2 linked regions of the Neurospora crassa OR74A genome follow. The protein of the gene in region 2 binds, or shares a complex with, the protein of the main gene of each other region. Links are inferred from orthologs where the notes say so. Each region holds a gene or a part of one and is shown on either strand. Other genes may lie near its edges.

Region 1 (3,305 bases), on a different chromosome or scaffold from region 2:
CCAACGTTTGGGGGCGCCGGTTGATATTGAACACTTGCTGGGATGGATTCGAGACCCAACGACACTGATCCGGCGGTGATCAGCTAAAAGATATGGAAGACTGGATGGGGAGACGAACCAAAGGAGACTAGAGATATTGAAGCAAAGTGGCTACTACACAGATATGGTAAGATCACTTGAGTATGAACTTCATTCTTTCCTACACCGTCTTGGAAATGAGAACTTACGTGCCATCACTTGTACGGACATGAATGGTTGAGGGAACAGGTAAGTCGTAGACTGACCGGCGATGCAAGTCTACGGCTGGTGGGAGGGTAGGTCCATATCGGTAAAGACAACGTTCAAGTTTGTGACAATCCGAAAGCTCATTTTTCGGAAGTATATTTGCTACCGATGAGCAACGCAAAAGCATCTCTGACCGAGTGGCGTCCAAACCGGGCCTAGGAACAGGGCCAACGCTCACTTCGCTGCCACATACATACAGTTCGAGTCACTGGACACGGGCATGGGTGAACCAATTATCAGGAATTCGGATGTGGAAGCTACACAGATGAATAATTCTTCATAAAGAGAGAGTTGACCGGGCGCTGAATTTGAAATACTTTTGAAAGATATGACGTTCAGCATACTCATCTGAGCGAATAGCGTAGGCTACCCCAGTCTGTACCCATGTTATAAACTGAGACGTGTGATTTAGAAGGCCGTGCTACCTTTTGCGAATGTCTCTTGTTCACCAGCGCCATCATCCCTTGCACTGGCTTGATGCCCCCACAAATTGTAAGGACCATCCAATCCGAGCGTCGCTTCGTATTCGATCGGTCCAGCCCAGCCGAAGCGGTAGACTTTTCCACCATTCCCAAAAGACATCCGAACCCGAGGAGTTGGAAACCACGCAGGCGAGCATGACGGCTTGTAAGTCGCCAATGTAGATAACCAGATGTGGTTGGTTATGACACATCTAGCCACACGGAGCAAGTACCACGTTCCGGCTAAAGACAATGGCTCTCCGTGGTACCACAACCTCTCAACTGTAGTTGCAAACCGAAAAGGTAGCCTGTTGTGTCTGGCCATGTTGCTCCGGTAGACCTAACCGCCAACAGAACTTACACCAGAAACAGTTGTCCCAAATGCACCTTGACGCCACAGGTTCTAACCCAAAGAAAAGCACAACCAAATCAAGCTCTTGCTTTCGGCCTCCTGGATGCGAGACCAGGGCCGCTTCTATACCCTGCCCGGTACAGTTGTCTTAATACTCCCAAACGCCTAATGATCATGCAGTTTTCTCTTCCCGGACGATAGAGTGGTCGGCTTTCCCGAATAGTTGATGATGAATTCTTCGACCGCTCGGGCATATTACATCCCCTGTTCCTCATTGCGTGTCTGCATCTCGATCTTCTTGACGTTGCGACCATCGGGAGTATACCTAGAGCGTAGTCAGCCACCAAGGTCCAGCGCGGCGAGTCCACAAGAACGTACTTGAGAAGCTTCTCGATGAGGTCGACGTGGGTCATGACCATGCGACGGCAGCAGTAGCGCTTGAGGCCGAGCTGATCCAGAGCATCACTAATCATCGTCTGTCAGTTGTTGTTATTTGTAAATCGAAAGTCGTTTGTAGATGTCGCATACCCATCGGTGATCTCCTCGCCATCGATCAGCTGCAGGTATCTCTCCCAGAGATCACCCACCACCTATGTGCCAAAGTCAGTAACCTTGTTAACGGGTAAATGGCGGAGGAAGCGGGGCGCGTCGCGTCGCGTACCTTGCCGCACGAAAAGCATCGGATTGGAATGATCATTTTTGTTAGCGAGTCGAAAGCCTACAAAAAAGTGTTTGGCGGGATGGCGATGTTCGCGGCAGATGAGCGACCGGCTTCTGGCAAGATGGTGGTGCAAGATTGGTCGTAGTGACGGTGCAAGTTTCAGCATGAACTTTGAAGGGCGAGGCGGCAACTTTACCTGTGAGGTCGGAAGGCCCCAGCAAATTTGACTTTCTAGGGTCTGATTGGTCACTTCAGCCTTATCACCGATAAGAAAGCTGCCCCACATTAACTTTTCGAAGGGTACTCCGCCAAAATTTCTTCTGCTGGGAGGATGAGGCGGACATGAAGCTCGGTACGACAAATCGTGTGTTCCTTGCCAGACTTGCATCGTCATATACTCAAAGGACAAGATGGTGGAGCTACGCACTCCTCGCAAGACCTCGAAGGCGCCCAAGATGGATGCGAATGGTGAAACTGCCTCGCTCAAGAAGAGAAAGAGAGAGCCCAAGGAAGAGACGACCGCTTCGCAAAAAAGGCAACGATCGAAACCAAAGACCCAGCCTGCTGCCGCCAATGGCAATGTTGACGATACTACCGACTCCCAAGAAAGCACCCTTTTCGAGAACAAAGACTTGCAAACGACCAATGGCGATTTGGAACTTACGGATGCTTCGAATACCTTGACGACGCGCAACACATCGGCATGGAAGGTATCGAATCCTATGGGCGGCCGCATGCTCGACATCGATCCCATATTTTCCTTGGATGAACGGTTCGTTTGAGACCAGTCCCCCAGGCAGGGGCTCTACTAATGCGACTTAGATACCTCCTTATCACCTACAACACATCAATTCAAGTCTATTCCACCGAGGATTCCCTGCTCGTCAGGAGGATCTCCCTTCCCATCACCAAGCTCGACAGCGGCGCCGAACTTTCTTCTCCCCACATCGTTGCGTCTGCGCTATCCGCCAGCGCACCCGAATTCCTCTGGGTTGCATGCTCAGATGGCCGCATCTGGCACCTTAACTGGGCGACAGGTGAAGGCGCCGAAACACCCTTCACGATTGACGTCAAGAAAGTCCTCGACATGACCGTCGAATCGGTTGATATCCGCGACAAGCAAGAAGATGTCCTGTTTATTCTCCAGAAGTTGACCAAGTCCTCGGCGCAAATCGTGGCCTACGACCTCAAGGCCCTCCGTAAGAAGACCGGCAAGCTTATCCACACATACGACGAGAACCCGCAATTGCTTCGTTCCGCTGCTGGTGGCAGACTCATTGTTGCTGCCGCGAAGGAGACGCTACACATCGGCACTTTGAAGTCCAAGGGAAAGACCGTCAAGGCGGTTGATGACCTCGAATACGCGTTCCACTCTTTCGGCGTGCCGGATTTGGTTACTTGCCTCGACATTCGCCCGACTCTCCAAACAACTAAGAAGGGTGGCACAGAAATCCAGTTCGTTGATCTCGTCATCGGTTGCGCTCGCGGTGCCATCTACGTTTATGGTGACCTTCTCTCGAAACTACCCGGCAGCGCGACCAAGGGG
Region 2 (3,884 bases):
AAGACCGTGCTTCTTGAGGGTCGAAAGGAGGATGCTCTCGGTCATCTTGAGACCCTCGTAGAGGTTGACGAGGTCCTTGAGGTGCTCAGACTGCTCCTCCGACTTGAGCTTGTCCTGAGGAACCACGCTCAAGGCGCGCTCGAAGTTGTCGACGCTTTCAACGAGGTCCTTGGCGAACTTTTGAATGGCAAAGTCCTTGGCCTGCTTGACGTCGCGGGCGGTGCGCTCCTGGAGGTTGCGGAAGTCGGCGACGGTGCGAAGGCACTTGTCCTGTAGAGAGGGGCATCCCGTGTAAGTGACTTGTCCATCATGGCTGTATGTGCATATGCTTTGAAGCTCAAGAACCAACCTTCCACTCGCGGGCCTCGGCGTCCTTGGCCTCGAGCTGCTTCTTGAGGGCAGCAACTTCATCGGTCTCACCCTCCTTCTGCTCGGCGCCCTCGTCGGCCTTCTTCTCACCCTCAGCCTCGGCGCTGTACCACCGGGCGGCGGAGCGCAGCTGGGGAGCAGCTGTCCGGGCAGCTTGCATCTGGAAGATCTGGGAAGCAATAGGGCGCTGGGCGGCAACGCGGGCGCCGGAGCAGAGGGCTCTGGAAGAGCGGGTGAGGGCTGTTCGTAGCATGTTGGCTGGGTATCTGGATGTGACGGGTGGTGAGATGTGGCGATGTCAGAGACAGGGAAGCGTCGCGTGTTGAGAGAGGCACTTTCTCAGAAATTTTGAGACAGCTGCGCTAGCACGGGACGGAGACGGCATGGACGGGCGGCGGGTTGGGCGGCCAACAGGGGCCTTCGCAGTGTCTCCCACAGTGGGATGGTGGGAGGGTGGGTGCTGCTGCTGCATCAATCCTGTCGGCCGGCTGGGCGGGAGCGAACCGAAAAGCGGGTCATGAACGGACCGCCCAAAATCGACGAATTGCCTGCCGGACCATCGAGTTTTGCTCAAATCGACAATTGGAGCTTCGACACCTCAGCGCCCCGGGTGTGCCTGGCGGGGCTCTTTTGTGCGGGGGAGTCGAGATGGACCTGGCTGCTCCTACCTACTCTGTTAAAGACACGCCGTGGAGTTAGCCAACGCCAGGTCATGTGAAGATAAGGCCAGCTTAATCCTGGTCACTTTGTCTGCCCGCTGCGGCCTCAGCCAGAGGCAAGATTGGCGACTGGCCGCACTCAGTCCTACCATAGGTGGTGGCGCCTCCGAACCTCGACCCGTCAACGCGCCGGAAACCGAAATCAGTCCGCAACTTGCATTTCGCATCAACCGGCCCTCAACAAAGGCCACCTCAACCGCAACTCACCCTGCCTCGAACCACAACTTCCTGAACCGTTTCTCCCCCCGCATCCAAATTTTATCATACACCACAAAACGTACCATCGAGAACTGCCGACTGTAGCGAGAACAACTGACCGACCGCCGGTCAACACGCAAAGATGGATTACGATCCGATGGTGATGGACGACGCCGAGTCCCTGGGACCGGTCGTCAAGATCTCACAAGTATGTTCTGTGTGCTCTTGCTCACAGCAATTGCGCTCAGCTGCTCGTTCATCGTTCTAAACCATCATTCTAGGCGGACAACACCCGAGTCAAGTTTGAGCTCTCCAACACCGAGCTCAGCTTCGCCAACTCCCTTCGTCGCGTCATGCTTGCCGAGATTCCCACGATTGCCATCGATCTAGTCGAGATCGAGGCCAACAGCTCCGTTTTGGCCGACGAATTCATTGCCCACCGCCTGGGCCTGATTCCACTCAACGCCGAAGGTATCGAGCAGCTTCTGTATTCTAGGGACTGCGACTGCGACGAATACTGCGAGCATTGCAGTGTGACCCTCAACCTTCACGCCAAGTGCACTGGCGACGACATCATGCAAGTCTGTGCCCGCGATCTTGTTCCAGTCGGCGATCGCGTCAACCAAGTTCTCGGCTCGCCTATCATCAATGATCCTGAAGGCCAAGGTCCCCTCATCCTCAAGCTTCGTCACGGTCAGGAGATCAAGCTCCAATGCATCGCGAAGAAGGGTATTGCAAAGGAGCATTCCAAATGGGCCCCAAGTGCCGCCATCGGCTTCGAGTACGATCCTCACAACAAGCTGCACCACCTCGACTTGTGGTATGAGCAGGATCCTAAGAAGGAGTGGTAAGTACATTCCATCATCTTCACTTTTTCCAATTCCCTTTGATGTGACCGATGTCTCACCATTTTGTTTTTCTCTCCAGGCCTCCTTCGGAGTACGCCGACTGGGAGGAGCCTCCCCAGGAGGGCGAACCGTTCGATTACGATGCCGTACCACAACGCTTCTACTACAACGTCGAAACCGCCGGTCCTATTCCCCCTGATGCTATTGTCACTGAAGGCATCAAGGTCATCCAGCAGAAGTTGGCTGGTCTGATCCACGAACTTACCGAAAGCGATGGTGGTGAGAACGGATACAACGGACCGCGCAGCCCAGGCTACAACGAAGGTGGCGACAACTGGAACGACCAAGGATCGTTTACGCCATATGGAAACGGAGGAAACCAGAGCTCTTGGGGAGGTCAGGGAGGTACCACGCCCTACGGAGCGACTCCCTACGGAGGCGGCCAAAACCCTTGGTCTTGAGCATCATATGCTTACAGTTTACGATTTGCGACGTCAATTACTCCTCCTGATGGCTTGCGAGGTCATTGCGCCTGTCTTTTCCGGGAGGTTTTGGGTATCTGCGGTATCTTTGCGGCGCGAGTTCGAGCTGCGCACTTCGATTAACAACACAACACTTTTACCATTCAAACAAGATTGAGATTCGCATTCCTATACACACACTCGCGCCATCACCACCAGCTCAGCATCTACTTAGTAATCGTGGCGCCTCCGTCTCTTACTGCGGGGACCGTAACTCAACCACACTTTGTGGCTGAGGCCCACGGAACGGATCAGGGCCAAATATCGGACTTTTGGCGCTAGGCACGAGCCGCCACGTCAAGGTCAATTTTGGGGGAAACTGGGAAAAGGAACTTTGGGAGCTGGATCTTGACATTAGGGGAGAGGAGAGAGGCGCATTCTGAAGGGATTCAAGTCAGGGCGAGAGGAACCAGAGCATATCTTATTTGAGCGTCCCTCGTCCAGACACCACATATACTAGGCAGCGGAACGAGGACAGCTCTCTCTGTTATTGGCACCCTGCAAATGATCTATCGCACAATTGCGAGGTATAGACAAAAGGTGAATATAGTTACCATGGTCTGGCGACTACATAGGGGACCAAAATACCCAAAAAAAACATTCATAAACGGTTCGAAAGTGCGAGGTTCATAAAAAATCAAGATGCCATTCTCGCCGGTTGCTGGAGTCTAGTAAGCACTTGCTGCTCTGGTCTATTTGCTTTACACAACTCTGCAGGAAACACCAAACTCCCAGGGTAAGACTACATAAAGCCAAAACACCATCGAAATGACAGCCCTACCGCCGCTTCAATGCCTGACGGATGAGGGAACATCTAACAAAGGAAACCTATGAACAAGAAAACATGAGGTATCGCCATCTAGGTCCTGACAGAAAGACCACCACTCGGCCTCTAAAATGCAGATTTCCTCTATACAAATCCGGCCATTATGTCCCCACCCACAAACTTTTTGATTGAAATGCATTTGAAAACCCGCTGTTGCTGCTGCTAGTCCGTCTAAGAAGCAGACTCCCAAGACTGGACATGGGAGGAAAGGTGAAGAAAGAAAGAGAGATTAGAAAAGGTAGGTAGCCAGGAAGAGGAGCAAATGACAACTCATTCCTCAATGCCCTTGACCTTCTTGTACATCTTCCGATGGCCCTCCAAGAAGATGAAGGTGCAAATCGTTTGTCTGTCCGCGTCAATACCTCGTTAGCACAATCATATCCATGAAACTTTCGCGGAAGAC

Evidence for each region.
Region 1: the proteins of NCU01515 (region 2) and NCU02605 are in contact, whole or in part, in a crystal structure (PDB 3K1F), measured with the Saccharomyces cerevisiae proteins. The link is inferred for Neurospora crassa OR74A from reciprocal best matches to the Saccharomyces cerevisiae genes RPB3 and RPB10. Residues at the interface, in NP_012243.3 of Saccharomyces cerevisiae: Asp16, Asn17, Val57, Leu58, Phe62, Arg66, Leu69, Ile70, Pro71, Thr110, Asn112, Tyr114, Gln135, Asp136, Glu138, Asn140, Gly141, Val142, Leu143, Ile144, Cys145, Lys146, Leu147, Arg148, Lys149, Gln151, Ala168, Lys169, Gly171, Ala174; in NP_014853.3 of Saccharomyces cerevisiae: Met1, Ile2, Val3, Pro4, Val5, Arg6, Cys10, Gly11, Lys12, Val13, Gly15, Asp16, Lys17, Glu19, Ser20, Lys42, Arg43, Ile57, Glu58, Phe60, Leu61, Arg62, Tyr63, Asn64, Pro65.

What each region holds. Positions count from the first base shown.
Region 1 is NC_026501.1:2,876,104-2,879,408, reverse strand, and holds NCU02605 (DNA-directed RNA polymerase I/II/III subunit 10), read right to left. Parts: upstream 1,893-3,305; 5' UTR 1,796-1,892; coding exon 1,760-1,795; intron 1,689-1,759; coding exon 1,627-1,688; intron 1,564-1,626; coding exon 1,477-1,563; intron 1,424-1,476; coding exon 1,354-1,423; 3' UTR 545-1,353; downstream 1-544. Other genes in the region: NCU02604 (hypothetical protein), read left to right, coding at 2,170-2,531, 2,582-3,305. UniProt on the Saccharomyces cerevisiae protein: DNA-dependent RNA polymerases catalyze the transcription of DNA into RNA using the four ribonucleoside triphosphates as substrates.
Region 2 is NC_026502.1:3,218,624-3,222,507, forward strand, and holds NCU01515 (DNA-directed RNA polymerase II polypeptide), read left to right. Parts: upstream 1-1,188; 5' UTR 1,189-1,428; coding exon 1,429-1,494; intron 1,495-1,567; coding exon 1,568-2,133; intron 2,134-2,213; coding exon 2,214-2,595; 3' UTR 2,596-3,317; downstream 3,318-3,884. Other genes in the region: NCU01516 (mitochondrial co-chaperone GrpE), read right to left, coding at 1-270, 350-622; NCU01514 (mitochondrial dicarboxylate carrier), read right to left, coding at 3,752-3,827. UniProt on the Saccharomyces cerevisiae protein: DNA-dependent RNA polymerase catalyzes the transcription of DNA into RNA using the four ribonucleoside triphosphates as substrates. Component of RNA polymerase II which synthesizes mRNA precursors and many functional non-coding RNAs.